Linked DNA regions of Caenorhabditis elegans. The protein of the gene in region 2 interacts with the protein of the main gene of each other region in a pairwise test. Each region holds a gene or a part of one and is shown on either strand. Other genes may lie near its edges.

Evidence for each region.
Region 1: the proteins of gop-2 (region 2) and B0207.6 interact in a two-hybrid assay, tested with the Caenorhabditis elegans proteins (one large-scale study listed by BioGRID).

The regions. Positions count from the first base shown.
Region 1 is NC_003279.8:5,921,501-5,938,481, forward strand, and holds B0207.6 (GPN-loop GTPase 2), read right to left. Parts: upstream 15,458-16,981; 5' UTR 15,445-15,457; coding exon 15,286-15,444; intron 15,169-15,285; coding exon 15,061-15,168; intron 14,904-15,060; coding exon 14,705-14,903; intron 14,378-14,704; coding exon 14,037-14,377; 3' UTR 13,870-14,036; downstream 1-13,869. Other genes in the region: B0207.5 (SUEL-type lectin domain-containing protein), read left to right, coding at 366-476, 578-739, 1,097-1,339, 1,405-1,818, 1,873-2,118, 2,538-2,789, 2,862-3,119, 3,179-3,370 and 13 more; air-2 (Aurora/IPL1-related protein kinase 2), read left to right, coding at 15,984-16,051, 16,101-16,209, 16,286-16,653, 16,717-16,981.
Region 2 is NC_003281.10:5,244,103-5,261,012, forward strand, and holds gop-2 (GPN-loop GTPase 1), read left to right. Parts: upstream 1-14,920; 5' UTR 14,921-14,930; coding exon 14,931-15,074; intron 15,075-15,121; coding exon 15,122-15,457; intron 15,458-15,619; coding exon 15,620-15,896; intron 15,897-15,939; coding exon 15,940-16,100; intron 16,101-16,142; coding exon 16,143-16,292; 3' UTR 16,293-16,410; downstream 16,411-16,910. Other genes in the region: Protein sumv-1, read right to left, coding at 5,169-5,245, 5,323-5,425, 5,479-5,642, 5,718-6,262, 6,341-6,595, 6,697-6,907, 6,955-7,117, 7,506-7,693 and 11 more; gop-1 (Protein CLEC16A homolog), read left to right, coding at 10,368-10,567, 10,616-10,746, 10,792-11,090, 11,142-11,334, 11,382-11,497, 11,548-11,705, 11,754-11,857, 12,451-12,656 and 8 more; SAM50-like protein gop-3, read left to right, coding at 16,606-16,731, 16,814-16,910. UniProt on the Caenorhabditis elegans protein: Small GTPase required for proper nuclear import of RNA polymerase II (RNAPII). May act at an RNAP assembly step prior to nuclear import.

The DNA.
Region 1 (16,981 bases), on a different chromosome or scaffold from region 2:
AAATTTGTTTGGCAAAATATTACGTGTTTGCGGAAAACTCCAATTCTTTACACCCTTTATTTGACAAGTTTCTCTCAATATCTGTCACGATTCCAATTATTTTTTCAAAAATATTTAGTTCTTACAACGAAAAAACTCAACAACTAGAGAAAAATATAGCGAAAGAAGCGCGGGTACGGTATCTCAAAAATTCACATTCCGTAGTTTCAAGTAAGGAATCGAACGTTTTCTTCCAGTTTTTTACAACATGTTCACAGTAGGTAGTTGCTTTCATGGCTATAGCTTCTCTACACTAGTACTCCCCGAAAATCCGAGCAGTTTGAATTGCTTTTAGCTTCCTACAGATGTTTACATGAACCTTTCAGCGATCTGTCTACGAAAAAGAATGTCTTCATCCATCTCCACAATCTCCACCGCATGTGTATCCTCCCAACTTCTGTAAAACTGCGAATGCTGAGAAACTGAATGATAAAGACGTAAGTTTAATAAGATTGAACACAATTATTTAATGTTAGTTTGTAAATATCCTTTTATGAGAACACCTCATATGGAAAGCTGATATTACTTTGTGTTTCAGTATGCTGAGTATAAACGGCAATGTACTGAAATACCACCAATGGATTGTCATAGTGTGAGTCCAGATGAATTGAGTGACACAGAATACCAAAGATATAAAGAAGAATGCAGAACTGCAGAAGATTGCGCAAAAATCAATCCAAAAGACTTGACTGGAGAAGAGGTAAGAAAAATCACGTAGGTAGAAGTGTCTACATTACAGTAGTACAATCAGATAGTAGAAGGTTTCGACCTATCCCGTGGGAAGGCTGATATGCCTAAGAGAACATTATTCTAGTACAGATAAAGAATTCAATTTATTTAAAATCCCATTCCATAGCTTTAAAACGGAGGATCACGCAAAAGCCATCGTGATTTTTGTCGATTTATCTCGGAGCTCGCTTTGGCATAGAAAGCACTTTTGAAGCATTTTCTGTTTTGAGTAGTCCATTTATTATATTTGATTAATTTTTAAGATAAGCTGTATAATGTTTTACAATGAAAAACGTTTTTCAAACACTAATTTAATTATAAATTTTAGTATGCAAAATACGAAAGAAATTGCCTTAACAAGAAGATCAACTGCTCAACAGTGGATCCTAGAGAATTGACTCAAAAACAATATCGACGATTCGAGAAAGTTTGTTTGAAAGACACAAAAGACTGCAGAAATGTTAATGTGAAGGATCAGAATGACAAGGAGCACGAAAAGTTTAGAAGTGAATGTCTAAAATCAATCGATTGTAGTTCCATGGGCAATGTTGATGAATTGACTGATGAAGAGGTAAGTCTCCAAATTTTTAGGGGTTTCAACACTTCCGTGAACTCACTTTAAAAACTAGTTTGCAGTACAAAGTATATCAACGAGAATGTCTCAATCGACCTGGAAACGATTTTGATTGTCCGAACACGGATCCTAGAACACTTTCAAGAAAACTGTACTTAATATTCGAGGAAAAATGTCTAAGTCCAAGCCCTGACTGTAAAGATCGGATTACGAATGATATGAGCTATGATGAGTATGCGAAATTCTCAGAAGAGTGCCTTGTTGAAAACTTTGATTGTGAAACTGTTGAGCCAAAAAATCTCAGTGAAAAACTGATGAAGAAATATCAAAAAGAATGTGTTCGAAGTACTCCAGATTGTAGAGATATGAAAGTTGATGAGGTCGCAATAGAAAAATACAAGGAATATGAGAGGAAGTGTATCTGGACTAAATTGGATTGTTCCTATATTAAACCGGATGAATTGAGCAAAAAAGAGGTAACACTTTCTAGTAATTTTTTTAATTTTATGGAACGATTTCCATAGTTTCAGTACAAAAAATACAAACGCTATTGTCTCGACAAGGTGGTCAACTGTTCAACGGCTGATGCTAGAAAACTGACCCAAAAACAATATAGAAGATTCGAGAAAGTTTGTTTGAAAGACACACAAGACTGCAGAAATGTGAATATGAAGGATCACAGTGATGAGGATTATGAAAAGTTTAGAAGTGATTGTGTGAGAAGAGAATTCAACTGTGATTCTGTTGGAAATGTAGATCAATTGAGTGAAGATGAGGTTGGTGCAAGAGTTTATATATTTAATGGTGGTGGAACAACTTGAATGGGAAATCGCTTTTTAATATAATCGAAATAGTTTGAAATTGCTCAAATTGTTTTATATGGATGCAAGGATTTTGCATTTTTGACAGACCACTTTACTTGAAATTCCTTTGAAACCAATTAGCGATTTTCGTTGAACCCTATACACTCTATATATATTGATGATTGGTCCTGGAGAGCTTTTTATGGAGGAAATTCAAACATGAAAATTAACGTTTTTTATGTTAGAGTTTGCGATCTGTCTCGATTTTCTCATTTTCTTTTTTGATTTTCTAATTTCAAACTACATTAAGCATTCTATAGCGAAATCCCTATTCACGCAACTGCACTATTTATCCTATGAAAAAAAAAAACGTCTCATATAGAAATTTGTAGTACAACGACTACAAAAAACGCTGCAAAGTTAATTTCGAAGGAGATGATTGCGATGAAATCCGTGTCGATAAGCTCAGTGATCATAAGCTTCAAGAATATGTCAACAAATGTGGACTGTTCTGTGGAATAGAACGAAAAAATGTATTGACAAAGAAACAACAAAAAGTTTATGAGAAAAGATGTGAAGGAGACACTAACGAATTGGATAAAGATTGCAAGGATATTGTGGTGGAGAAGTTGGGAGAGAGAATGGTACGTTTTGGGGTACAAATTCCGATTTTTCAAATGTTTCTTTCACACAATTAATTTCTCTTTACATTTTAGTATGGAGATTTTGCTGAAAAATGCTTGGAACCAATAAATGCTTGCTCAATGCTCAAAACTCGTCGTCTTGTTAGGAAAGTGTACAATGAATATCGATTAAAATGCAAACCACGCCTACGTCCATCAACAGAATTCAAATGTGAAGAAGCTGACACTGAAAATATGACATTGGAAGAATTCAAAAATTATGAATTGAAATGCGGAAAAGTTTCAGACAACTGTGATAATGTGAATGTGAATGAGCTCAGTGAACAAGAAGTTCGTTTTTTATTTCAATTCCTGATGAAACCTAGAACACTCATTTTGAAATTTTACAGTACCTTCAATATAAACGTCGATGCAGAATTGACTATACTCATAAGAGTTGCAAGGATATTGTTTTAAATGAATTGAGCAGGGAAGAGTACAAGAAGTATCTGAAAAAATGTGGAAGACGCCGTCCAAAGGAAAGTAACGCAAGTGACACTGATTGTGACTCGAAGGATTTAGTGGAAATGAGTAGGAAAGAGGTACGTTAGAAATATTTATCAGGGGAACAGCGAAGTTTTAAATTGTATGGCGCTCAGAAGTTTTAGAAAAATGGTAAGTTTATCGATAATCTGAAATTTTGCCAACTTGCCCTTATAGCTGATGCTTGCTATTATTTTTATTTTGCGTTTTTTGTTGATTTATGTGAATTCATTCTGGCCGCTGCTACACTGAAAAATTGGCAAAACTTTAGATATTTGCCAAATTGACCTTTTTCTAAAATTTAAAACAGCCATAATGTAGTCTCTACTTTAGATTTTTAATTTTTTCTTTTCAGTTCTTGAAACACATTACTCTTTGTGGAAATCCGGTCGACACAACTCTTCCAAATTGCAAAAACATTGACGTCGAGGTTTTATCAAATTCCGAATATGAAGAATACAAGAAAAATTGTCTGAGCAGTGTGATTCCTTCTAAAGAAAGACAAGAACCAGGTGGTGGAGCACCAATGAATTGCTCAACGGTGAATGTGGATAAACTCAGTGATAAAGAATACAAGGAATACAAGAAAAAGTGTGGAAAGAAGATTCGAAGTGAAGTATGTGATGACGTAAATGTTGATTCATTATCTGTAGAACAGTATAATGAATATCTAAGAAATTGTGAAAAGAAGCCAAGAAGAAAGACTCCAGAGTGTAGCATAAAGGATACTAGTAAACTTTCTGATGAAGAATATAAAATCTACAAAAAGAAATGTGGATCAACGTCTGAAGATGGCAATGCTCCTCCAAATGGGGACAGGCAAAAACCGTCAGTTACTATTGAAAAAACAGTCATCATAAATCCTACCGGTCCCAAGAATCCAGATGACTGTGGTTCAATCAACCCTTCAAAACTCTCCGACTCGGAATATGAGGAATACAAGAAAAAGTGTGGAAAAGAGAGGAAAACTCCAAAACCAGATTGTGACGACGTCGACACCAACAATTTGTCAGATGAGGAATACAGAATGTACAAGAAGAGATGTCAAGTGAAGAAAACTCCAAAAGATAATTGTTCCAATGTTAATGTCAAGGATCTTACAGAAGACGAGGTAAGGGAAATATCACACTTTTATTAAATTTTTTAACTATTAAAACTTTGTTAGTGTACTCTGTTAATACTAGATCAAAGAGTAAAATCAGGTCACTTAAGCGTTCACTCATTTCAAATCTATACCAAATTTTTCACAAACTAAAACTTAGCAAAAAAGGATAAAATGCGGTTTGAGCAAGATTATAGTTTTCAGTTGATTACAAGAAGCTCGGCAAAAAATGTGGTTCTTTTGAAGGAGAGGTATAATAATATTTAAAGATAATATTTAAATTAGACTTCGTGTTTTTGAACATGGTAGGGGTTCAAGAAGTTTTCGTATGTTTTGCACTTTGGCAAAACTTATAGTATTTATAGAATATTCCCAATAGCGCAACTCCTGTTTTAATTCGCATTTCTCAAATAAAAAAAGAAACTAATTTTTTAGTACTCCGACTTCAAGAAGAGATGCGGATCAACTGACGAAAAGGATCCGGGAGAATCTGTTTCAATTACTAAAACAGTAGTAATCAATAAACCGCCCAAAGATGGAAATGAACCAAATGTCGAGAAGACAGTCATTGTGAAAAATACACCCGGACCAGATGATCCTGAAAAATCAGATTACTGCGCTTCAGTCAATCCATCAGAACTTTCCGAGTCAGAATACAAAGAGTATAAGAAAAAATGTGAATCTGTTCTTGAAAGAAAAACTCCAAAACTAGATTGTGATGACGTTGACACTAATAAGTTGTCAAATGAGGAATACAGAATGTACAAGAAGAAATGTGGAAAAGAGAGACACACTCCAAAGCCTGATTGTGATAGTGTGGACGTCACAAAACTTTCAGGAGAAGAATATCGGGACTACAAAAATAATTGTGGAACACCTAAAAGACCGGAAAAACCAAATAGAGAGGACTGTTATACTGTCAAAATAGAAGAATTGACAGCCGAGGAAGTTAGTTTAATGCATTGCCATAAAAATTTCTAAAAAATTTTATAAATAACAATTTTTTAGTGAGCACTTTTTTTCAATATAAAGAACTACCCATTTTCGAGGATGTTAAGCTAGTAGTTAAATCTAATTTTTGAAAAAAAAAACTTAAGATTTTGAAAAAATTAAAGACTAGTTCATATTTTCTATCCGGCTCATAGAACCTCTCACAATAGTTTTTCAGTATGTTGCTTTCAAAAAGCGCTGCCTCAGTGCACCAGAAACTCCAGGAAATCGAGAATCAAATCCTGAAGAGCCCACAGTTGTGATTAAGAAGGAACTAATTGAGAATAATCCTCCAGGACCAGAAGAGCCGCGTAATCCAGATAACTGTTCATCAGTAAACGTAGCAAAACTTACCTTAGCGGAATACAAGGAGTATAAGAGAAAATGTGCAAGACCCGACTGTGATGACGTGGACACTAACAAAATGTCAGAAGAGGAGTATAGAGCATACAAGAAGAGATGTGGAAAAGAGAGAAAAACTCCAAAACCTGACTGTGATGAAGTTGATGTCAATAAATTGTCAGATGAAGAATACAGATTATATAAGAAGAGATGCATGTCTACATATACACCTGAAGATGACTGTTCTAACATTCGTGTCAAAGATCTTACAGAAAAAGAGGTAAGCGAGTGAAATTAATTCAGTTAATAGGTGGGGTAGCGCTGCTGGTATTTGTTCACAATTACTCCAGTACAACATTTACAAAATTTGGGACTTACCAAAACTAACTGAAATTTTCAAAAATCTAAAAAAAAAGTTAGAGCATTCTAATCCGATGTTCTGTCATGTAGTATCCACTTCACGTTTAAAGGTTATTTTTATATTTTCAGTATGCTGACTTCAAGAGAAGATGTGGAAATACTAAGGTTCCGGAAGAATCCGTTACTATCAAAAAGACGGTAGTAATCAATAAACCACCAAAAGATGGAAGTACACCTTCAGGCGGGGAGACTGGAAGACCACCTGTGACAATTGAAAAAACAATACGCGTGGAGAAACCTGGAAATTCCGATTACTGTTCTTCGATTAATACATCAAAACTTTCCAAATCGGAATATAAAGAGTACAAGAGAAGGTGTGAATCTCAACCTGAAAGACATGATTGTGATGACGTGGATACCAACAAGTTATCAGAAGAGGAGTATAGAGCATACAAAAAGAGATGTGGAAAGAGACGACCAGTTATCGAAGACTGTTCAAACATTAACATCGCAAAACTGAGCGACACAGAGTACAACGAGTATCGAAGAAAATGTAGACCAACAAGAAAGACCACTTCACCAGATTGTGCTGATATTGATGAAACGAAATTGTCGGGTGAAGAATTGGAAAAGTACAACGAGAAGTGCACATTTCAAGAAGATCCGCCACCGTCTGAAACAGAAGAAATGAAGTGTAAAGATATCAATGTTGAAGAGATGGATGCAGAGGAAGTAGGCCGGTTCCAATTTTTCATATAATCCAGGATTATCTTTTTCAGTTTGTCGCCTACAAAAAACGTTGTGGTACACCAAAACGTCCAGAAAATCCACGTGAAAGACCACCAGGATCTTCACCTTCTGAAAACTGCAGAGACGTCAAAGTTGAAGAACTGACGGCTGATGAGGTATTTGGGTTTTCTTGTGTAGCAGTCCTTTGGGAAATAAATAATCTTCAAAGAAAAAGTGTCATGAATTGTGAAATTACTAAATTTATTTCCATATGAACAACTGGAGCAACTGAAAAATTTTGTTCAAAACAGTCAAAACATTGATCTGGTGTATTCTTAAAAATTTGAATCTCCTAGAGTTTTTTCGGCATACTTTGTTTTCAAACTGAAATGTTCACTCTGAACTGAATTTTTTGTTGGTTTTGTGATAATTAAAAGTTGATTGTAATGTGATCATACTACAAGATCTAGAAAATATGATTCATGAAACGTATCTTATAATTATAATTAATGTTTTTAGTATGCTGAATACAAAAAGAAGTGTCTGCGGAATCCAAGGAAATCAACTAATCCTCCAGATGAAAATTGTTCCAAAGTCAATATTGATGAGTTAACGGACAAAGAATATAGATCATATATCCGAAGATGCCCGAATAATCCCACAGGAGTCAAAATTACGAAAACCGTCGAAGTAGGAGATGGCTGTCAGAATAAAAACACGGATGATATGACAAAAGAAGAATACCAACAATTCAGACAGGAATGCTCTAGAAAACCACATGTTGAACTCACTAAAATTATAAAGATTGTTGAACCACCGACTAAGCCTGGAGATTCCCCAGATGAATTTGATTGGTGCTCTGGTCAAGATATCAACAAAATGCCGGACGCAGAATATGAAAAGTTCAAAGAAAAATGTCTTGGATTCCGAAAAACATTCCAATTCAATTGTAATTTGGATGTTAGCAACATGAGTGATGAGGAAGTGAGTTTTTTTGCTTGATAGTCTTCACGAAACTGAATTATTTAATTATCTATTTTCAGTTCAAAAAGTTTCGAAAAGCATGTAGCAAGAAGCCGTTCAACTGTGAAACTGTTGATGTAGATACATTATCTGACAAGGAGTACTCAAGATTCCAAAAAGAATGTAGACAAAGACCAGAATTCGAATGCAAAGATGCAAAAGTTGAACGAATGAATGCACAAGAATATGAGGAATATAGAAAGAAATGTAAAAAGACTACAACTAAAGTTACAAAAGTTATTGATTCATGTGACGACGTAAAGGTCGAGGAGTTGAGCAGAATAGAGGTTAGAAATTGAATTTCATATCTCTGTCAATTTTTAATTATTCTCGACATTTTCAGTACGCTAAATACAAATCTCGATGCGTCAAAGAAACAACTCCGTCAGACACTCCGCCCACTAAAATTCGAAAACGAATTGATTGTTCAATTGTAGATGAAAGTATGATGAGTGAAGAGGAATATTCAGATTTCAAAAAACATTGTAACGTGAAAGTTACAACCGATAGATATCGTCCTGGAGAGAATATAATTCTGACAAAGAAAGTGAAGATAAGAACTGGTAAAGAAAAATTCAGTTGTTACGATCAAGATGTTGATAGGATGACTGATGAAGAATATTCCGAATTCGAGAAAAAATGTTTAACTCATCCACTTTTCCGATATGATTGCAGTACTGTTGATACAACTAATTTATCAAGAGATGAGGTGAGCATTCAAATAATTGACATCACTTTCCTTTTTCCTCTATTAGTCTTGCACCCAGCTTTGACTGCTTGAACCTTGATTGTATTTGGATTTATCTAAAAATTCTGTATCCAAGAAGTTTTTCATTTTTCATTTCCAAACTACCAACAGCATGTGAATACACTTTTAAAGTATCAATTCCTGTTTTGGGCTTCAAAAAATTATTCTAGAAAATTTCAGTACTCAAAATACCAGCGAGAATGTCAAAAACCTGATGCATCTGTGGTTCTCGTTAAGAAATTGGTGATTAACAAGGAGAATGTGCCAGTAAAAGATGGATGTTACAATCGAGATGTTGATGGAATGTCAGATGATGAATATTCTGAATATGAAGTTCGATGCTTGGGACATCCTTCGACTCCGAAGCCTGTTGAAAGGAAGACATCAATTGATTGCCATAATGTTGACATGTCAAAACTTTCTTATACAGAGGCAAGTTTATTCTGATGAAGAAAAGCAAGATGACTCAATCATAAGATGTTTGGTAGAAATTAGAAACTTGAGACACTTGTTTTTATCTTAAAGTAATGAGTGTTTTTGTTCCAGATTGAAGAATATCTGAAACGGTGCCGTACTCGAGAAACAGCATCCACACAACCTCCTCCACCACGACGTCAATCTCTCAAATGTTCGGGAATAAATACGGATGATCTTAATGAAGATGATTACGCTAAATGGGTGAAAGAATGTCTGCAAGAACCAAAAACTATCAAACTGGAGAAGAAGATCATTATAAACCCAACTATTCCACCGACACCTCGTGGGGAGAGGGTCCTTGTAGAGAAGCTAGAGATTCATGAGCATCTTCGGCCAGACGACGATGAAGGACTTTTGGAGGGAAATGAAGATTTTGGAGTGAGAATTACTACAGGCATTCGGAAGAGAGTTATCAAAGGATCACCTGGTGATGATTCAGAATCTGAAGGAGGAGTTATACTTGTGAAGAAAGTTATTCATAGAATTCCAACAAGACGTCGTCCATCTAATATACCAGATGAAGAAGATGAAGGTGGTGTGATTGAAGTGAGAAAAATGATTATGAAGACAAGAGAGCCAGAGCCAGATGTTGATGATTCAGAAGACGTTGAAGAAATTATGAGAAGACCGAGAAAGAGGATTGGTCCAAAAGAAGAAGTTGTTCTGTTATCTGTCACTAAGAAGCATCCTCATTCATATCGAACGAAGACAGTTCCAGACGAGGAACCTGTTGAAATAGTGAAGCTTGTAAAAAACAGAAGATTACCAAACGCAACATTGAGGGAAGTCAGAATTCGAAAACACTTTGGAACCGGAATCCCTGGGGAAGAAGCTGTTGTTCAAGAAATTGGCGGTCCTGACTTTAAGATCACCCGTAAAACTGTGATGGTTCCTCGGAAAGTTCGTAAAATGAAATCGACAACAACAACTACAACTACCCCTGCTGAGCCAGAATACTATTATGATGAAGAAGAATACCCAGAAGTGATTACTCTGGTAAAAGTTGAAAAGTCTAGGCGTCCACTTCGAAAATACTCAAGACCTGATGATGAAGATGATGAATTTGTGGATGTTCGAGAGAATAAGCCAAAAAGTTACATTGAATTTGAAGGATTTGTGAAGGTCCGTGGAAATCCTAGAAAAATCAGAAAGAGACCAAGCTTCACGGATTCTGGAGAAGAGCCCGACATTCGAGAAGTAACTCGGAAAATTGTTGAAGGAGAAGAAGATGATTTCAAGGGAGTTCGACTGAAGAGTCACAGAAAGAAGTTGGTAATAGTACGGAGAATGCAAGAGGAAGAGCCAGAAGAAGAACATGAGGTCAGAGTTGTCAAAAAACTGAAGGTGATGAAGTTTGGAAATGAAGAAAAGGAGAACTTTGATAACGAAGAAAATGTTGAAGATGATGGGAAGATCATTGTTAGAAATCGAAAGAGACAATACTTTGAGAGAAACGATCGGCCTGATGATGAGGAAGAAGGAGAGGAGCTGGTGAATAGAAGAGTTGCTGTAAGAGGAAGAGCTCCAAAGATTTTCAGATGGGCTCACAAGCCAGGAAGAAAGAGTGCCAAACCTTCAATTACTGAAAGAAACTCTGAATTCTATAAAATTGGAGGATCGCATGAGGAAGAGAATCACAGAAAAGAGAAAAATCAAAAGAAATGGAAAAATCGAGAAGATACGTTCCGAAGGAGAAGAAAGCCAGAATATGAAGAGGAAAGTGAAGAATTGGGAAGAAGAAAACCAAGGTTCGGAGAAGAAAGTGAAGAGTTCGAAAGAAAAGGAAGTAGACCTGATAGAGAACAACCAAATGGAGAAACAACTGTTATCAAAAAGGTTTCTGGAGGATCGATATCCGATCCGACTCCTCGATTGCCCGATGATCAAGGCGAATCAGTTGCTATCACCAAGAAAAAAATTTTCAAATATGGCGAGAAGAGAGACACTCCAGACGATGAAGATGAAAACGAGGAGATTAAGCTATTGAAAAGAAAACAATTATATCTTGGAGCACGTGATAAGCCAACCGGAGAAAATGATGGAAACGGCGAAATCGTTAAGATCACAAAAAAGAAATCGTTTAAAATTGGACCAAATGGGCAAAAGATACCTTATGACGGAAATGAAGATGAGCCACAATTCAGGAGAAAAACATCCGATCATCCAGGAAAAGATCAAGACGAGGATGTTCAACTTTTCAAGAAGAAGAACTTTTATCGAATTGTGAATGGAAAGAGAGTATTGATACGGACAGAGGAAGATATTCCCGAGCAAGATGAAGATGGAGAATCTGTGAAAATAACGAAGAAAAAGTTCTACAGAATTGGACAGAACGGTGAAAAAATTTACGAGGACGAGGACGAATCGCGTCGATCGAGAAAAATCTCAAAAGATGAACCAGGAGAAGATCAAGATGAACAGATTAAACTATTCAAGAGGAAGAAGTTTTATAAAATTGTTGATGGAAAACGAGTGCTGATAAAAACTGAAGGAGATGTTCCTGGACAAGGTGAAAATGGGGAGCAGATTAAGATCACAAAGAAGAGAACATATCGAATAGGTCCAAATGGTGAAAAAATTGAAAAGAGCTCGGATGATCAAGCGTTACCTAGTCATGATCGAGATGGGAAGCTGGTGATTGGAAAAAACAATAGGCTGTACCGAAAAGGTTCAGAAATACCCGATGAAGATGAGAATGGAGAGTCTGTGAAAGTTATGAAAAGAAAGGAATATCAAATCGAAAAACCACAAAGCATGCCAGAGGAAAGTGAAGATGAAGAGTTCAAACTTTTGACAAAAAAGAAGAAGATGGGAGTTATTGCCAATGATCCGTCCAATGATGGTTCAGAAATAATTAAAATGTCAAAAAAGAAGGCTTATTTAACTGGAGAAGGTTCGATGTCTCATGATCAGGATGGTGAAGGTTCTGAAGAAATTATGATGAAAAAAAGGAAGAGGTTCTATAAAGTGGGAGCTGATGGAAAACGCGAGCTTTTGAGAGAAGAAGAAATCCCAATGGGTCAACTTGGAACAAAAAAGAGCAGTTATAGTCCGGAACCGTTGGATGGGGAGAGAATCGAGAAAACAAAAAGAATATACAAACTCGGTCGGGATGGAAAACAGGAGCTTCAGAAGATGGGAGATGATGAAAGTGGAGATGATTCTCAAGATGGAACACACGTTGTGAAAATGATGAAGCGGAAGAAGACTTATAGATATGATGCAAATGGAGAGAAAGAACTGATAAAAGAGGAAAATGTACCAGGAGATCTTTCATCCGATGGCGAAGGAGATGGAAAAATGATTTGGTCCAAGAAAACTAGAAGATCATATACTATTGATAAGGATGGAAATCGGAAACTCGTGAAGGAAGAAAAAGTGCCAGGTGGTCCTATGGAAGATGATGGTCAAAAACTGATGGGAACTAAAAAGACAAAACGATTCTATAAAATGGTGGATGGAAAGCGGAAGCTGATGAAAACAGAAACATCGGATGGTGATAACATGATGATGCCCAAACACAACTCAACTCCAGAAAACGACGGAGTTCCACCTCCTGGTAAGAACACAAAACTCGTTATTAGCCAGAGAGGTTCTTTTAAAGGAGGTCATTTCTCAGTTGACAAATCTTCAGATGACAACAACAAAGATCATGGAGATTCAAGAGAAAGATCAGGAAGTGATGAAGAGACGAGAACGAGGAATAAAGGAACTAATAAAAGGCGAGATGGCAGAAATGGTTAGTTTTTTTTTTAATATTACGTTGATATCTAAAGATGAAAGTTTTCACCATATCTTACCCACATGGGACTCGCCAGGCAGAAAAAGGATTACTGGAATTGGTGTCCATCAACTTCTTATTTAAAAGCCTTCGGTCGGTATATCGACAGTAATTTGTTACCCGAGACCCATGCGCATAAGAAATGACGGAAATCCTCATCCCTAGACATATAAATTCAATTTTCCTAGTATTAAATTTTCGAATTACAGATGGCAGAAATATGAATCTTGGAAGCATAATAAAACCACGAAGGAGGTCATCTAATGATGGAAATGATAATAGTGATCGGGTGAGTTAAAGTCTTGTTTATGATTGATATACCCGGTCTCGAAACGTGCCAAGTATTTTTTTCAATTAGAGTGTGTGAAAAATGGTACCTTTAAGCAGAACTGTACAAAATATGTGCGCATTTGAAGATTACTGTAATTTCCAACTTTCGTTGCTACCGAATTTTCATCAATTTTTCATAGTCCCTCTCATTTTCTTTTATTTTTATTATTAGTTTTTTAAGTGTGTTTTTATAGAAGAACAATGAAAAATCGATTCAGCAACAAAATATGAAATTACAGTACTCTTTAAAGGCGTACAACTTATCAGGCTTAACAAAAATTCGTCGTGGAGACACCGAGTTCCACATTTTTGGCCCAATAAATAGCAAATTTTCGTGTCCGCGTAATAAAGGAAATTTTGGAATTCGGTGGAGAGTGGAAACTACCATACTCCTTAAAGTCGCAAATTCTTTTATAAATTTTCAATTTGAAACTTTCGATCGTTTTGAGATCGCAAAATTTAGAAAATGATTGTAATTTCCAATTTCTCTAAAAAGTTTAATTCTCAATTTCAATCAAAACATTTTCAGAACGACGGTCGCAGAGAAAAAACGCGATCAAGTAGAAGAGCAAGATCTTCGAGAAAAATGGAAAAATATCATAAAGATAGAAATGTGAGGTCGAGTGGAAAAAGTGAAGAGCTCGTCCCAGAATAAGATTGTGATGTATGATTAATTGATGATAATGAATATTTATTGGTTTCTTGATGACTTTTCGAAATGAAAATCTTAACAAGTGAGAACATGCGCAAGGATAACCGGTATTGGGTAAAAAATTACTTTGAGAGAAAGCAGGAAAAACAACAAGATTTGCAAAAAGCAAACAAAACGATTTGGTAGAAAATCTAGGCTTTTGAATTAAGAATAAGTTCTCGAATATCTCCTTGTTCAGTTAATGAGAATCCATTTGCAGCATCAACCATTTGAATAACTTTCATCATTGATTCCTTATTTTCAACGGCAAGTGGTACAAATGAAACGAGGTCGAAATCGCTAATAACTCCACAAATTGCTTCATTCAATTTTCGATATTTTTCCAATCCGGGAACTTCATTCAAAAGATCCAAAAGTCGATTGACATCAGGTAAATGGGAGAAAAACTCGAGATCATAGGTCCCGTCTTCAGAGAAAAGATCTGCTTTTGACAGACAGTTTACTTGTGGCATCTCCATTGTTACCATTGTCGCTGAAATTGAAGCTTTTTAATGAATATAATTTTAATTTGTTCCTTTCAGCCACACAAAATTTAAAGTGGTTCCGAATTTCAATTTTTTCCATCTAAAATCAAATAAATAACAAAAATAGGTTTCAGATTAAATGAAAGTTTTATGTGCCAGAAAGATATTGCATTTCTTAGCCAGAAATACATAAAGGCCCATGGAGTTTCAAAATTGTACAGAACAAAAATAAATTTTCATTTTTTGGAGGAAATCAGCTGAATTATATTTGGAAATTTCGGGTCGAGAGACAAGAAAAGTATTTCAATTTTTTTTTAATCTTAATGAACTCTTACCTAATGTGGATAATGCAACAGAAATGAATTTCGATGGGTCACTGCAGTAAAGTGAATCGGCAAGATGTAAGGCACATAGTCTAACACCGGATTTTTCCAAAAAGCGGATAACTTTCCATAGTTCGCCTTCGCTTTTGTATAGTTCCAACTGTCCGGGACAATCAATTATCAGATATTTCTTGTGATTCGCTTCGATTTTCTGAAAAAAGATTTAATTGAATATTAAAACTACAAAGAGGTTAAAAATGATTTCCGATTTTCTCGATTCAAATTTAGAGAATTCCAGATTTTAGCTCAATTGTTGTGAAAACAATTTTTAGCTTTTGAGAATTAACTTTTTCTGCCAAAAAAATTACCTGGAGGAGCCAATTACAATTAGCTCCAAGTGTTTCAATACAGTATTTGAGAGCTCCATTTGGTCCAAGTCCAAGTCGATCCATTACATCATTCACAGTGATCATTTCCTAAACTTTAGTATTTTAAATGAAAAATATGACCTTAAGTATTAAAATAACATTGATAGATGATCTGTACCACGTTTCATAATTATTGTCCTATATTCATTGGAATAAAATACTTACAGTGATATTTACATCAGGTGCGTATGCCATTGTGTCATTAGCAGGATCAAGATTGATAGTGAGAAATGGTCGTTTGGTTTGTGAGAAAATGTCCGTTAATCCTGCACAAAATGTAGATTTTCCAGCTCCAGGAGCTCCAATTACAAGAACTCCGTACATAGTCCAATGAGTACTGAAATTTTCTAGTTGAATCTTAATTTTCTACGGATTGTTTTGATAGGAAAACATTTAAGAAGAACAAAAATATATAAATACAATTTAATTTAATTTAAAACAAACAAAAAAGCAGGATAAACGGGCCTGGCACAGGGCCAAGTACGCATTTACACCGTACATGACGACATATTGCGGACCATTGCATTTTGCCGCGTTAATTTTTTATTTAAACGGCTTGCATTTCTCCTTACTATCCAGCTGACAATTTTTAGTTTCTTTAGAATTATTTGCAATCAAAACTCGTTTTTTGTAAACATATTTACTCAGGTAATGTGTTGATTTCTCACTTTTTTTTGAAATCAAAGCAGAATTAGTCCTATTTTTATTCTACATAAATATCTAAATGTATTCAATTAAAAATTGGGCCATTGAACTTCTAATTAATTCAATTTATAAATTTATCGTGATGTTTTCTTTTAGTTAATTTGTCCTTAATCGTGCCGTCTATTTTATTTCTTCATAAAAAACTTTTCAGTTCCGACATGGAGAATAAGCCACCTGTAATCAACCTTCCAGAGAAGGAAACTGTGAATACTCCACAGAAGGGAGGGTAAGAAATCAAGGTTTTAAAAGTTTATAAATTATTCTTGATTTTACAGAAAATTTACTATTAACGATTTCGAGATCGGAAGACCACTGGGAAAAGGAAAATTCGGCAGTGTTTACCTGGCTCGCACAAAAACTGGACATTTCCATGTAGCGATCAAGGTAACATATTGATTTATTTTGTATTTATTTGAATTATCATTTTTCTGACATCCGTTTTACCCATACATATTTTCAGGTTCTATTCAAATCGCAACTCATCTCAGGAGGCGTCGAGCATCAATTGGAGCGTGAAATTGAGATTCAATCTCATTTGAATCACCCGAATATTATCAAGCTCTACACATATTTTTGGGATGCGAAGAAGATCTATCTCGTTTTGGAATATGCCCCCGGAGGCGAAATGTACAAGCAATTGACAGTGAGCAAGAGATTCTCAGAGCCAACAGCTGCAAAATATATGTATGAGATCGCAGATGCTTTGTCATATTGCCACAGGAAAAATGTGATTCATCGCGACATTAAACCGGAGAATTTGCTTATCGGATCACAAGGAGAATTGAAAATTGGAGATTTTGGATGGAGTGTTCATGCTCCTTCGAATAAGTGAGTTTATCCTCAAATTTAGGAAATCTAGATGTTTCCAAAAATTCACTGTCATGTTTTCAGGCGCCAAACAATGTGCGGAACAATGGACTATCTCCCTCCTGAAATGGTGAATGGAGCCGATCACAGTGACGCAGTTGACTTATGGGCAATCGGCGTTCTCTGCTATGAGTTTCTCGTTGGAAAACCCCCATTCGAGCACGAAGATCAGTCCAAGACATATGCGGCAATCAAAGCGGCACGGTTTACTTACCCTGATTCTGTGAAGAAGGGTGCACGAGATTTGATTGGAAGATTGCTTGTCGTTGATCCCAAGGCTCGCTGTACG
Region 2 (16,910 bases):
TCCTATACTCATGTGCTATCTAGCCAGCTGCCACCAACAGTTGGTCATTCATCTTTTGAAGAGACTAGGAAAAAACACAGAAAGAACACTTAAATAGTGGCCCGGAATGGAAGGAAGATAGGCAAGTACTTGTGCAGATTTTTCCCCGTGGAATCTAGAATCTCTGAAAATTATCGAAAGCGTCCAAAAATCCACTTTTCGAGCAATTTGAAAAGGCTCGAGATTATTTCTTTTGACACTGAAAAATTAAGTTTCATGGATATTCTAAAACCAATAATTTCACAATTTGATTATCACATTTCCTCATTTGAGTTCATATACCTTTTGTTCTGCTAGAAACCAAATACCAAAATTTCACACCTCTTGACTCATAAATCCCCTAGTTGAATTCCATCCTTTGACAGTTTGGTTACCGCATTGCATCACACCTAATTAGACCAATTCCTTGTCACTGTCACACATTTCTAAACGGATTTGGCACCGTATGTTGAACGTTTTCAGGAGTACGGGCGGTATATTTGTATGATGATGCAAGTCTGTAATTAATCTTTCAAGACCGATCGGTGGGAGGAAGAGAGCAAGCGGTGCGGTTATTAATGAATAACAATATGGTTGGTGCCTAGGTGATGATTTGGTACAATAATTGGGTATATAGAAAGATATAGTAAAAAATATTTTCAACATTTTTCAACTTATTAAAAACTTTTCAATTAATTAATGAAGGAATATCGTTAAAGAGGATTTTTTCTAGATCTACCAATAGTTTTGGAAAAATTCCAAATTATTTTTTTTGCACATTGCCATAGTTTAATTTTTGACGAATTGTCCAAGCAAAACCTTTCAAATAAGGGTATTCCGAATAATTTTTTGTGAAGTGTTTCCTCTCCTGAACTTTTCCCAATTTTGTGATAATATGTCAAATAAACCAAATATTATTGCAACCAAATGCGCAAACATTCACATATATCGCGCATGTAATAATCATTAAATACACATGTACCTGTTACCATATATCTTTTTTATTGACAGATATCCTATATTTGTCTCTTCCCAGCAGGTGTTCATCGCCCTCTTCATGACTTCTGAATAAATACAGACCGGATGGATACAGTGTATCACTACAAGTATGCGCGAAAACTTTCAAGTATTACTAGAGCCACGTGTCATAGCTGTTGACCGTTAAATGAGCATGAGATGAGCTCAAGTGAGTGAGAGTACTTGTTGAGGATTAGCCCATTTGAGAAGGGAAATTGTAACAAGAGAATGGGTAACAGGAAGTTATGTAATCTTTATTGTTTCTTTTTTGTTCTGATTTAAGGAATTAACAAGCAGATGGAGACTAGTTGTCAACGTGTCAAGTGGAGATGGTTTATTTTTTGAATTCTCATGAGAGTCTTGGTTTAATAAAATGGAGAAACTTATGCAGGTTTAACGGTCTTTCTTTAATTGTATTTTTATTTGGAAGTTTATGCTCTCTCTAGTTTATTTTATTTGTTTGTTATTCTTTGCTCTGGCCTAACCTAAAAAAACCATTCATAATTTTCCGGTTGATCACCCTATTCTCTAAATACCGTAACCTAAGTCTTAATCACGTTCCGTCTGTTTCCATTTTCCCCTTTTCTTCATACCGAAACCTTGCTAATGCTCATCACTCATTCGAGCTGTGACCAAAAAAGAGCCGCCACCACAACCACCGTGCTCAACGAAAAATGGTGGGTGACGACGGGAAGGAAATCAAAACGATTTGACAGTTGAAGCATAGTGGAGAGAAAATGGGTGAAATACACGGAGGGATGGAACCAAGCGAGATGAAGATTTATTTATGTTCGACCCAATAGGAGATAATGGAAAAACAAAAAGAAAACAAACCAAAAAATAGAGAAAATTCTGGGGAAAACATAGCAATTGAAAAGAAAACCATCTCGAATTAAAATTGTAAGATGCTCGAAATACGATTTCCGGTCTTGACATGATTTATTTTTAATGGAAGTGTGTGCCTTTATGGAGTACTGTATTCCCCAACTCCTCATTGCGTTCAGTTTTCAAAAATGTTTTTACAGTATACTTTAAAAGTCCATACCTCTTTTGTCTTTAAAATGTAAAGTATTTTTAGACGAAAAAAGCGCAAAATCTCGTAGTTTATCAATTCTCGTCATCTTGCAATAACGGAAATCAAACTTATTTCACACCAATCGAATATTTTTTCAAAAAGTGTGACCATCTGCTCTGTGTTTCCATAAAAATCAATCACCTTGAATGCAGACGCGGAACAAAATCAAAGCATCAAATATGCAAATTTTTGTTTCTTTTTCAAAGTCGCACAGGGCGGCCATAATTATGTATGGTCTTGTCGAAGGAAAAGCTTTTGAACAAAATTGATGGAGTCACCTACGATTTTAAATTGTTATAAAACTGTTTAGGTAGTGCCAAAATGATTGTATGTATGAAATATTCTAATACTTTCCAGACTTTCAAAATTTACAATTTCAGTTAAAATTTGGTAAATTGCCAAATTCCGGGTTTTCTTCAATTTTTTGCGAAATACACAGAAATAACTTTTTGAATTTAAATTTAAATACAAACAATAGAAACATCATTGAAATATAATACCCGAGGAGAAGTAAATATATTTTTGGTAGAGTTCAAGAAATTATAATATTTGAAAACTGAATAATTGTAACTTTTTGGTGGTACTACAAAAGTTTTGAGATCCCATGTTAGTAAACTTGAAAGTAGTAAATAACTATTGTTATTATTCTTATTGTTACAATTAGTACTTGTTTACAACTTCTCATCTTTATCTACCAATTCAATGCAAAATGACATATTGGAAAGGGTCAATCAAAAGAGGAGCCTCTAGTTAAATGCAAAACACCAGTAGGGAAAGAAAGAGCACATTTATTTGGTATTTTTATGTTAAAAAATATCAAATTTCGATATAAACTCAATTATTTCTTCCAAGTTCTATCTCCTTTCTCTTTTTGTTTTGAGCAACAGTGCATGCACCACTAAAAGAGTACATGGAATACAAGCAGCTCTTAACAGATGGTATTACTGTAGATATTAGGGAGACGGAATGATGATTGACTTCTCCTCTTCTATTCAATTTCTATCGCTTCCTAATCTGATTGGCACTCATTTTGTTTGTCATCAAAAGACATATGCCGGCTCTCCCGAAAAAGGAGAAGACACCTAGTGCTCTTTCTCTCTGCGGGAAGCTTTCACCCCATCCCCAGTCTTTCGAGTGTTTGTATTTTGTTAATCAAGAGGCGACAATATGGAATGGGATTAGTGGATTTACAATAATATTTTTATTTTTCTGTTAGGGAAGTGTTGAGGGAAAAAATTTTTAAAGCAAAAACATGTTTAAAAACATACTTCTCGCCAACCGTATGATTATGCCATTATGGATTTTGTTCGAATATGCGTATACGCTATATATTTCAAAATATGTCCACTTTTCAATTACTGTACCACCTTGCAAATTTCTCTTTGTATTTGAGTTGGTTTTGATAAATTTAAAACTGGGTTCCTTTTAATATTAAAAAAATTTCTGGGTACGGTAGCTGAAAAGTTCCTCTTAAAGCTTCCTTTGAGGAGTACTGTAGCTTCATACTTTCTGTCTTTTTTTTCGCAATTTTTTGCGATTCTCTGAAAATTGCGACATGGGGAACTACGATAGATCTTGAAGGCCCCTTTTCGGCTGAAACTTTTTGGCCACTCCGAGGCCTGGTACCGTATTTCAAGCTAAAACCGCGGCCTTCCCAAACTGGATAATAAACCCAAACTCCTAAAAGCATAACTGGCATCTTAAAAGATTTCCAAAACTGTTTTGATATGCAAATTCGCTCTACAGTACTACTATATTTATAACACCCGCCAAAAAAGCTCATCGCAACAAGTTAATCCTCTAAACAATAAGAAACAGTGGGCAATCCTCTTAATATCTTCCCGCATGGTCAATGTGTGATATTTGCATTACAAAAAGGGCGATCTAGTGACGGCGCGGGATAAGAAGAAGTGTCGGGTGGTTGTAAACGTTGAGATTTTCTGAGAAGCCGACACAGTTTTATTATGCGGGAAACGAACAGACGGATCATTGTAAATTATACGAACAAAAAAGTGAGCAAAAGAGTTGGAAGTGAATCTTCGAGTGTGGGGTTCGAATAGGTTTCTTAGAAAATTGTGTTGAACACGTTGTGTCAAGATGTCCCAAGATGGTTTGCTATGCAATAGATACAGGAATCGTTAGCCCAGAAAAACAGAAATTTTAAGCCAGCTTCGGTAGATTTCTTCAAAAAAATTAAGAGCACAAAGTTCCAGAAAAAAGAAATTATCAGATACTCCATTCTCTATAACTTTATTTTCTCATTTACCACCCAACAGTTTGAGTAGTACTAGTAGGTGACCATTCATTTTTGCAGATGCCACGTGGCTGGCAGATGGTATCACGTACTCCATTGTAATGCATCCGGATGGTTTTTATTTATATTGCACCTATTTCCGCATACATACATGTATCACTTTAAAGGTACATGCCAAACTAAAATTAAAAATCTAAAAAATGTTAATACGAATTGTCTCGTTTTAATTAAATGTTTTCAAAAAAATTAGTTAGTGTAATCATAAATGTTAACTTTCGCTGCAAGACCACGTCTGAAAAATGCGTGCACCTTTAACCAGGCGTTCTCTTGTTTATTTAGTAATTGATAGGATCATCTTGATCCTTCAAACGAAAAAAGGGAAGTGTACACTTCATCCTTTAATTAATCCCTTATTTTGCCGCCAACATAATCCGTAGAAATGGTAACCGGATATACTCTGCACATCATTTTCTTTGAGGTGTCTTCTGTTCATATTGACACCTCCTGTTACGTAACACACAAGAGCTCTTTGTGCGGGAGAAGGTTGCGCCGAAATGTCGAATGGATTTGCATGAGGGGAATTACTAGATAAGAAGGGAGATGGAGAATACAATAAAACTATTTATGATTAACTGTAAGGCGAGACAAAATCATTAATAAGAATGCATAATTTCGGAGGTAACAAGGTGAAAATTATATGAAAATAAGATAATTCAACAGATCATTAAGAGAATAATGGTGAGGATAGCGAAATCGTGAAACAATATATTAAAAATTATGAAAAGTTGAAGCAAAATTAAAATTTCAAAGTTCCTCCTCATATTCCTCACTGTTTTCTCGTTTCTTTCCTATTGATGAACGAGAAGGTGACTTTCTTTGCGCTGAAAATGGAAAAAAGTAGAGAAATTAAACATTAATCTTTGGTTATAATGAGTTTAAAAAATAATTTCTCACTCACTTTTCTTTGTGCTTCCTCCATTTTTCGACGTACTCCCTATTGCTTGTTGTTGCTCTTCAGCAGCTGCAGCTACCGACAATTCAGCAAGCAAATCTAGCGGATTCTGAAAAATAATTTTTTTCCTATGATACTTCACAATATAAAAACAAATTTTACCTCTTGATCGGTGGAAGCAGCCGAAGAAGATGTAGACGCAGAGGGAACATTAGGTTTTGAATGAGAAATAGCTTGATTCGCTGCAATTGCGGCCGCCCGTGGTGTTCTTCCGGATGGAGTTGGTGTTGTCCGTTTTGTAGATGATTTTGGAGTTTTTGGACGATCTGAGAATTGAGAATATTATTAAAATATCAATCTTTATTAAATTACAAAGATTTTGGAAAAGTAGAATAACTAACCTATTTTCTCCTTTTCCTTTTCTGGAGATGGCACAGGTGCTGAAACATCTGATGATTTCTTTGCTGGAGGCTCTCCAGACACTGTCTCTGCAGAAGAAGAAGAAGTTGTATCGTGTATTAATGTAGCCTCCGAAGATGTTGATTCAGATGCCAAAGTTTCATCGATTTTCCGTTTATTGGAAGTTATTGTCATCGCAGCTGGTGCAACTTTTTCTATAACTTCTGGAGCTGGTGAAGGATTCGAAAATGATACATCTGATTGCGGATCCACTGATGATTCTGAACTTTTCGTCGGTTCTGGGACGCTTGTTGAAGCTGCAGAAGTTCCTTTTTGAGCGCCTCCCGCAGCTTTTGATGATTCTTTTGCACCGGGAGCACCGGCCTTTCTGCCTCCCTTTTCCGGTGAATTTCCAGCCATCAAGAGATCTATTTCATCTTGAGTTAGTGTTGAAAGATCCCGATTTCCAATTGACAAAAATGTTCGTACATTGATGTTTGCCAAACGTGGATCATGCTGAACTGTGTCCAATGCAGTATGCTGGGAGCTGAAAATAATTCAGAAATCAGAAGAAATCAGATTCTTTGAAGGTTTTGTGAATTTCGAATAATTTATAAATACAAACCCCGAAGCCACAGAACTTCTTGATGGACCAGCTACAGACGATGAACTTCCTGATCGAACAACCGTATAACTTGTTGTAACTCTTTGGGGTCCCATAAGACGGTAAGGTGGAACTGGAGTTTGTCGCCGAACAGCTTGAGGGCTCTGATTCATTGCTACTGGCATCATAGATCCTTGTCTTGGCGGAGAAATTAATTGAGGGCTTCCTTGTTGCGCTGACGGCGTCATTCCTGGTCTTTGGCCAGCCATTTGAGATCTGAAATCATGTAAACTTCAATTGAAATTGTAGAAACTTGAAAAATTTCCAGCTAACGGTGATAGTTTTCAGTTTATTGTTAGATTTCACGAAAAAATTACCTATAAGCTGGGCGAGTTCCGACATCGGCTGGATTAAGTCCTGCAGCTATAGCACGATGTGGTGCTATTGGAAGACGTGATGCTTGAGATCGAAAAGTTTGAGAAGATGTACCGGGTTGTGGTGATTTAGGAGGAGCCAATAGCTGAGATGATGATGTAGAAGTAGATGGAGTGAGTGGAGAGTGTTGGGCATGACGAGATGGAAGTTCAGCTGAAAATTCAAGATTAGATATTTTATTAACTAGACTTTTTTTTTACTTCTTCGATAGGCATTTTTATAATATGGAACACCGCGTCTCGATGGTTCTGGTCCTTGAAACATGGGTGATGGTCCAATATCATCTTCAATTGAATCTTGAGTTTGTTCTAATGGAATCATCTTCGGTTGCTGTGAACGAGCTGCATGAACTGGGAAACGAGGCTAGAAAATTATAAAATTGACACTTTTAGATTGGAAAAAATTATTATTTGGGACTAGGGCCTGTAGATTTTTGGTTTTTTTTTAAATGTTTTGCCGAAAATTTATTCTTCGTTTTTTTCGAAAATAAAAGTGAGCCAAAAACGTAAATTCTGATATACTGAAAACCTTAAAAATTTTTAAATTTTCCTTTCTCTCAAAAAAAAACAGTCATTCCCATTTTTAAAAGAGTGCAATTTTTATCCAGATATTAAAATTTTTCCGAATCACGTTTCAATATTACAACATTTTTCGTCTTTTTTTCGGTTTTGTCGCCAAATACCTAACGAGACCCATGACTCGGGGGCGGAGCGTATTGAAATGTACGTGGAGCTTGTTTGAATAATATTACCTGTGGAAGAGGCCGTGTAGCCGAGCTCGTAGATTGATTTTTCCATCCTTGAAAATTCATTTTTCCAGGTGACGAATTGTACGCTGTCGATATTATCGATGGCATTTTCTTTTGTGATTGTTGATGGAATTGATAAGAATTTGGAGATGTCCCAAATGATGGAGAACGTCTTGGTGGTAGTCGTTGTTCTGGAATTATAAATAATTGAAATTTTCCAATTTTAATCGTAAACTAACTCTTCTTTCCTCCACCAAACTGACTTGCATCAATAGGTCGAACTCTGAAATCACTATTATCTCTCTAAAAGTACATTCATCGTAAAATCAAGACCCACCTTGCACACGTTTGAGACATCATCTCTTCTTCTTGCATTTTTAATTTCTGTTGCTCGTGGAGCTGCTGTGATGTCATCGGAGGAGTTCTGTTAGCTTTTGGTTGATATGGTACTTGATTAATTCCTGGAGGTGGTCCCATTTGTGGTGGCCGGAGTACTTGAGCCGGTGGACCTTGATAACGACGGGGTAATGGAGCAGTTAATGTATTCGATTGATTTGAAAATTGTTGCATTGGGGAAACCATCTGTAACTTTTTTAAATGTTAGAATATTAAACGGCTCAAATAGGTTCAAAATCACCTCAAAAACCGAATTTCACAAACCTTTGAAAAAAAGCGCAAAAAAATGCAGAAAACAGAAAAAACCCAACTTTTTTTGGTCCAGCAAATAGAATAAAGCTTTTCACCTATTGTTACATTTTGTGGTAGTTTATTTCTTGTTCATACGTTGATTTAGGTACACTTAAAGGTGATAGGTTTCCTAAAATCATTGAAACTAGACAAGTTAGACCGAAATTTGGCAAAAATGATCACAATCGCTCAAAAAAACCCTTCTCCAAAATTGATAACTGCTGCGACACGGACAACCTCGTGAAATTTTATATTTCAGAAAATTTGAATTTGTTCAAAATTTTGAAAAAAAAACCTCGCTACAAAACTTTTTGGAAATTTTTGAGAAGTGAAAATCGGCTGCTTGAGGTCATTTTGGGAATATCAAAATCTAAATTGATCGGTTTTTTCTCTTTTAACTCAAAAATGTCTGAAAAACAAACCGATTCGATTCTTGACAAGTTTCCCAGTGTAGGCTCGTCGTCGTCGGATGAATTCAAATAGCAGGTTATCTAAAAATAACGACTTAAAAAATGTTTTTCTATAATTGAAAAAAAAACAATTTACCGAATTTTTCTCATCTTTCGGGGAAGCATGTTCACCAGGTTGGACACACCGATTACACGGGCAAGACGTAGTTTCAGCTATTGCAGAACTTTCTGGAAATTTTTTTAAAATCAGATTTTTTCAAAATGATTTGGCACTCACTTATATGGAACGAACATTTCGGATCAACTCCTCCAATTGCAGTAAGACCACATGCATTGCAGACATCGAACATTTTTTGAGAACGATCCAGTATAATATCTGGACTTTGAATTTGTAAGCCACGAAAAAATATTTTTAAAACTTACGATCAAAGCAAAATTTGCTAAGATGAAGCGCCGGCTTGTTACATTGCTTTTCAGAGTCGATTGGTTCAAAATTGTCAATTTTATCCAAAATAGAGTGCATTGTGTGTACAATAACTAAAGAATCATCCATATCTGGTCCAACACAACATTGATGGAATACTGGATCAATTGTCTAAAAAAATATCAATAGAATAATGAAACATTTTCAGAATTCATTACCGTCAATGTCAGATAGTCATTCCTTGAGTATTTTGTGGATGCTTTGAAAATTCTTCGCTGGGCCATATCTGTTGGATAATCTGAAAAACGCAATAAATTTCATCGAAAATGCCTATTAAATTGAATTACCTTCTTCTTCATCATTTCCTAACAATTCATGCTCTTTTTGTGCTTGACTTGTGACCAATTCTTTAAATTCAATTAAATCGTCAATATCCTTTTGTACTAAATCCATCTTGATATTCAATATATCTTTGTCAGTATAGTATTCAGCGTATCTGAAATTTCGAATTTATTTTTCTAATTCCCAAGAAAAATAATTAATAAGAATACCTTAACGAATTATTATCCAATATATCATCATTTGCCACATCTGGAAGACGCTGAGGAACTGTTTGAGCAGCTTGGAGGTAGTCGTCATCGTCTCTGGAAATTGTTATTTTCAATTTCAAAAAAAAAACTTTACTTACGAAATATACTCATTTGATGCAATCCACGGATCAAAACGACGTCTTTGCATCTTTGAATCATTTTCCGCATGGCACCGCATCACTTCTTTCTTATGATTATTTTCTAACGTTTTTGAAAATTCGACGTGCTCTTCACAACGGCCGCCATGTTTCGCAAGTTCTTCTTTTGATCGTATCTAAAATTTTAAATTTGAAAAAAAGCTTACTATCAAATTTTCGTATTTTTTCTCACCTGCTTACACCGAACAAGCGTTCGATACGAAGCATAATTACATTGTCCATACTTATTTTTGTCGTATTCATTGGCAACAAGACGGAATCGTGTTCCAGGTGCAACTATATATTGAGCAGGAGGACGAGTTGTTTGTTTCATGCTGCTTAAAAATAAAAATGGAAAATTGAGTCAAAAAGTTGAGATAAAACAAATTAAAACAATTTTCTGAAAAATAAACAACTGAAATTTGAAGTAATAAACAACACGCGAAAACGTTATTTCGGAGCATCGTTTGAGAAGTAAAACTTTTTTTCGGCGCACCCTTGTGCGCAGTTTTTATCTTCTCTTTTAATTTAATTTTCAAGCTAAATCTTTCTTTTTAAACTTTGAATAAATATTTAAATATTCAGAATGCACCAATAAACCTGGAACAAAATCGATAATGTTCCGCAAGCTTGGTTCTTCTGGGTCACTATGGAAGCCGAAAAATCCGCATTCTTTGGAATACCTCAAATATTTACAAGGAGTGCTCACAAAAAATGAGAAAGTTACGGAAAACAATAAGAAAATATTAGTAGAAGCATTACGAGCTATCGCAGAAATTCTCATTTGGGGCGATCAGAATGATGCTTCGGTTTTTGAGTGAGTTTTTTTCCAATGTTTTTTTTCAAATCTGATGTTGAATTTCAGTTTCTTCCTTGAGCGGCAAATGCTTCTTTATTTCTTGAAAATTATGGAACAAGGAAACACACCACTAAATGTACAATTACTGCAGACTTTGAACATTTTATTCGAAAATATTCGACATGAAACTTCACTTTGTAAGTTTTTTATATGGATTTTCGCTTAAAATTGCCAGTTTTCAGATTTCCTTCTAAGTAACAATCATGTAAACTCGATTATTTCCCACAAATTCGATTTACAAAATGATGAGATCATGGCTTACTACATTAGTTTTCTGAAAACTCTTTCATTTAAACTGAATCCAGCTACAATCCACTTCTTCTTCAATGAAACGACTGAAGAATTTCCATTGTTGGTAGAAGTTTTGAAGCTTTATAATTGGAATGAATCAATGGTTCGAATTGCTGTTAGAAATATTCTTTTAAATATTGTGAGAGTTCAAGATGATTCAATGATTATTTTCGCTATCAAGCATACAAAAGTTAGTAGAAAATTATTTTGAAAAGGTGTATTTAAGCAATAAATATTACAGGAATATCTATCGGAGTTAATAGATTCTCTAGTTGGTCTCTCACTTGAAATGGACACATTTGTACGATCTGCTGAGAATGTGTTAGCTAATCGAGAGAGATTACGAGGAAAAGTGGATGATTTAATTGATTTGATTCATTATATTGGTGAACTATTGGATGTGGAAGCTGTCGCCGAAAGTTTATCAATTTTAGGTCAGTTTTACTGCTGGAAAATCAAGTTTTTAATGTTAAATTTTCAGTAACAACACGATACTTAAGCCCTCTATTACTTTCAAGTATATCACCAAGAAGAGATAATCATTCACTTCTACTCACTCCGATTTCTGCGTTATTTTTTTTCTCTGAATTTTTATTGGTGAGTTTTAACATTTAAAATTACATTTTTCTAATTTATTTATTTTTCAGATAGTTCGTCACCATGAAACAATATATACATTTTTATCATCTTTCCTATTTGACACTCAGAATACTTTGACGACCCATTGGATACGTCATAATGAGAAATATTGCTTAGAACCGATTACATTATCATCACCAACCGGAGAATATGTGAATGAAGACCAGTAAGAGCTGAAATTTTAAAATTTTTGCTTTGAATATAGTATTTTCAGCGTATTTTTCGATTTTCTACTGGAAGCATTTGATTCCAGTCAAGCAGACGATTCGAAGGCATTCTATGGATTAATGCTGATTTATTCAATGTTTCAGAATAATGGTGAGTTTTAAAAAATTGATTTGTTAAATTAAAATTTCCATTTCCAATAACTCCTCTTCAGACAGTAAGTTTTCAATGTTGTAAAGTTCCTGTTCATCTGTGATCGTTTTCTTCATTTTTTTAGTTTTGCATGAACAGTTTTCAAATTTTTTTGATATCATACAGTAAATATCGTCATCCAGATAATTTTCTATTTAAAAAAAATGAATAAAAAGAGGGCGCGCAGAAATTGCCGAAGTAATGTAAATTTAAAGGGACACATGCGTAGCTTGTTGTGTGGGTCTCGCCGCGCTTTGTTTGATTTATCTTGTTTTCTGCTCAAAGAGCTGTTTTTATTTTAGCGTTGAATGCTTTTTTACCGTTCTCATCGGCTTTTTAATAGGAATATTTAAAAAAAAAGGTTTAATAAATCTTCGTTTTTACAAAATCCATCTAAGATTTGCATTTGTGAAGCTCAACAAGTAAAGTTTTAAGTAACATTGTTTTTTAAAAAACAATTGAACCAAATTTTGCCGAAACATTAATAACATGACGATACTCTATAAAATATTCCTCTTTTCAAAATAAATTTTCAAAAAAAATCCATTTTTCAGCCGATGTTGGAGAACTTCTATCTGCTGCCAACTTCCCAGTGCTCAAAGAATCAACGACAACTTCATTAGCTCAACAGAATCTTGCTCGTCTCCGAATAGCATCTACGTCTTCCATATCAAAGCGAACGAGAGCTATCACTGAAATTGGAGTAGAAGCGACCGAGGAAGATGAGATTTTTCATGATGTTCCTGAAGAACAAACGTTGGTAAGTAAATAAATCAACATTGATTGTTACACAAACTTTAATATTTTTAAATTTGAAAATTTTCTTCAAAGTGCTCAAAAATCCTGTCGAAAATTACAGGAAGATCTGGTGGATGATGTATTGGTTGATACTGAAAATTCAGCAATAAGTGATCCAGAAGTGAGTAGAAAACGTGCATGTATTAATTATTAAAAAAAAAATATAGTTTTCCCCAGTTTTCCTTGACCTAAAACTCAGCAATTTCAGCCTAAAAACGTGGAGTCAGAATCTCGTTCTCGATTTCAATCTGCTGTTGATGAGCTTCCACCTCCGTCGACTTCTGGATGTGATGGTCGACTTTTTGATGCACTTTCATCGATTATCAAAGCAGTTGGAACAGATGACAATCGAATTCGACCAATTACATTGGAACTTGCATGTCTTGTAATTCGGCAAATTTTAATGACTGTTGATGATGAAAAAGTAAGATTACAAATTCAAAATTGAGCAAAATCAGAATCTAAATTTCATAAATTGTTCAGGTACATACCAGTTTAACGAAATTATGCTTCGAAGTTCGTCTAAAACTTTTATCATCAATTGGACAATATGTTAATGGAGAGAATCTGTTTTTGGAGTGGTTTGAGGATGAATATGCAGAATTTGAAGTAAGCCAAGAGGTCCGAAAATAATTTAATTCATCCTTTTTATTCAGGTGAATCACGTGAATTTCGATATAATCGGTCACGAAATGCTTCTTCCTCCAGCTGCAACTCCTCTTTCGAATCTGCTACTTCATAAGCGATTGCCCAGTGGATTTGAAGAACGAATAAGAACTGTAGGAAACTTTTTAAATTTGAAAATTAATTATATATATATTTGCAGCAAATCGTATTCTACCTACATATTCGAAAATTGGAACGAGATTTGACCGGTGAAGGAGACACAGAATTACCTGTGAGAGTGTTGAATTCTGATCAGGAACCAGTTGCCATCGGTGATTGTATTAATTTACGTGAGTTCATCTGCATAGAAAACACCATATTTCTACTCAAATTAACAATTTTCAGATAATTCGGATCTTCTATCCTGCACTGTGGTTCCTCAACAACTATGTTCTCTTGGAAAACCTGGTGATCGTCTTGCTCGATTCCTTGTCACTGATAGACTTCAATTAATTCTTGTCGAACCGGATTCTCGAAAAGCCGGATGGGCAATTGTTCGATTCGTAGGACTTCTTCAAGATACAACAATTAATGGAGATTCTACGGATTCGAAAGTTTTGCATGTTGTGGTGGAAGGGCAACCCTCGAGAATTAAGGTAAGAATACTAACGGGAAAAAAAAATCAAAAAATTACTTCTGTTTCAGAAAAGACATCCGGTTTTAACTGCAAAGTTCATATTCGATGATCACATTCGGTGTATGGCAGCAAAGCAACGGCTCACCAAGGTAACGGAAAAAATAACCAAAAAGACGGAAAGTTATTGTAAATGGACGAAATCGGCGAAATTAATTGAAAACGTTTGAATTTGCCGCTAAAACCAAACGAAAACCAAACGAAAGCGAAATTTAACTATCCCTTCAGGTAGAATATACATTTTATTTCTCTTTATAGGGTCGCCAAACAGCACGTGGTCTGAAACTTCAGGCGATATGTTCAGCTCTTGGAGTTCCACGTATCGATCCAGCGACAATGACGTCATCACCACGAATGAATCCATTCAGAATTGTGAAAGGATGCGCACCGGGAAGTGTACGAAAAACTGTTTCCACATCATCATCGTCAAGCCAAGGACGTCCCGGACATTATTCTGCAAATCTTAGATCAGCATCTAGAAATGCAGGAATGATACCAGATGATCCAACTCAACCGAGTAGTTCTTCGGAAAGAAGATCCTAGGGATCAATATCTCTTCAGTTTCATCATTTTATGCTGTAAATTGTATTTAAGTATTCCTATTCTTTGTAGTACTGTATTTACACATCGTCTAGTTAAAATCACAAATCTCCGAAAAAACAAACCAGTGAACATGTGATATTTCTCTTGCCCATAGTTCTCTTTTTTTTTTGAAACAAAAACAATTACTTTTATGCTCACCTATTCGAGCCATATTTTTTTCCCAATTACCGGTTGTTTATTTTAATTTCTTTTTTTTTTCTGTAAATCTACTTTATTTTTAAAACTGCATTTGAGATTGTGTATATTTTTTCAAAATGGTTCAAATGCCGAATCTATCTACTTTTTAATCATTATTCAAACAGAAAAACCGATTATTTATTCAGATTCTCAAAAATGGCTGAAAAAGCTGAAAATCTTCCATCTTCTTCGGCCGAAGCTTCAGAAGAGCCATCACCTCAAACTGGACCAAATGTGAATCAAAAACCATCGATTTTGGTTCTTGGAATGGCTGGTTCTGGAAAAACGACATTTGTTCAGGTAACTTTCATTCAATTTTGAGAGTTTTCAAACATTACTATTTTCAGCGTCTCACAGCATTCCTACATGCTCGTAAAACACCTCCATATGTGATTAATCTGGATCCGGCAGTTAGCAAAGTACCTTATCCAGTGAATGTTGACATTCGAGATACTGTGAAATACAAGGAAGTTATGAAAGAATTCGGAATGGGACCAAATGGAGCAATTATGACATGTCTTAACCTGATGTGTACTCGTTTTGATAAAGTAATTGAGTTGATTAATAAGAGATCTTCTGATTTCTCAGTTTGTCTTCTTGATACTCCTGGACAAATTGAAGCATTCACTTGGAGTGCTAGTGGATCTATTATCACTGATTCATTGGCAAGTAGCCATCCCACGGTAAGGGATTTTGATTTATGAAATCTGCTTGAAATGAAAAAAGATTCTAATAAATTTTTGACTTTTAAACATTTTTTACAGTTATATTTGGTCTATTTTCTATCATTAAAAGCAAAATGAAAAGTCGATTCTACTCCATATTTATTAATTTCGACTTTTCAGGTGGTAATGTACATTGTGGATTCCGCTCGTGCCACAAATCCAACTACATTCATGTCCAATATGCTCTACGCATGTTCCATTCTCTACCGTACCAAACTTCCATTCATTGTCGTTTTCAACAAAGCTGATATTGTCAAACCAACATTTGCACTCAAATGGATGCAAGATTTCGAAAGATTTGATGAAGCTTTAGAGGATGCCAGAAGCAGTTATATGAATGATTTGAGTCGTTCATTGAGTCTCGTTCTTGATGAATTCTATTGCGGACTGAAAACAGGTTTTTATTCGAAATAAAACCTTTTTTAAATAATAAATTTCAGTTTGCGTCAGTTCTGCAACTGGAGAAGGATTCGAAGATGTAATGACAGCAATCGATGAAAGTGTTGAAGCATACAAAAAAGAATATGTTCCAATGTATGAAAAAGTGTTGGCTGAGAAAAAACTATTGGATGAGGAGGAGAGAAAGAAAAGAGATGAAGAGGTAATTGTAGTAATTTAATTCTGATTATCTTCAAATTTTCAGACTCTGAAAGGAAAAGCTGTTCACGACCTGAACAAAGTCGCCAATCCCGACGAATTTCTGGAGTCGGAGTTGAATTCAAAAATCGATAGAATTCATTTGGGCGGAGTCGATGAAGAGAATGAGGAGGATGCTGAACTCGAAAGATCCTGATTTTCTTTTTGTTTTTGAATTTTTATTCTATTTTGATCCCTGTTTACTTCTTATTGTTCTCATTTTGTTGCGTTGTTTTACATTTTACTCATTTTTGCATAAACTTGTTGCAAAAATCAATATAATTTTTGATCTGGAAATGGTTTTAAACCTTAACCTTTCATATATTAATAATTTTTTTTCAAAAAAACGTTCTAAAAAGGTTCCTCATTTTTTCAATATAGGAAATTTTGAAGATCTTTTCCAAAAATGAGGTTCTTCGCTTGAAAAGCCAACATTTAAAACCTTTTTTTTTCCAGAAACCTAGTGGTTAATGTCTGAAAAGACGTTCCACAAGGCACAGACCATCCGTGCAAAGGCATCCGGAGTGCCTTCAATCGTCGAAGCTGTACAGTTTCATGGAGTTCGCATCACAAAAAACGATGCTTTGGTTAAGGAGGTACTACCCAAATTTCAAAATGTTGCACAATTCAATTGAAAATATAAATTGTGAATTAAATTCAACTTACATGTTTTTTCAGGTTTCCGAATTATACAGAAGTAAAAATCTAGATGAACTTGTTCATAACTCTCATCTGGCGGCTCGTCATCTTCAAGAAGTTGGATTAATGGATAATG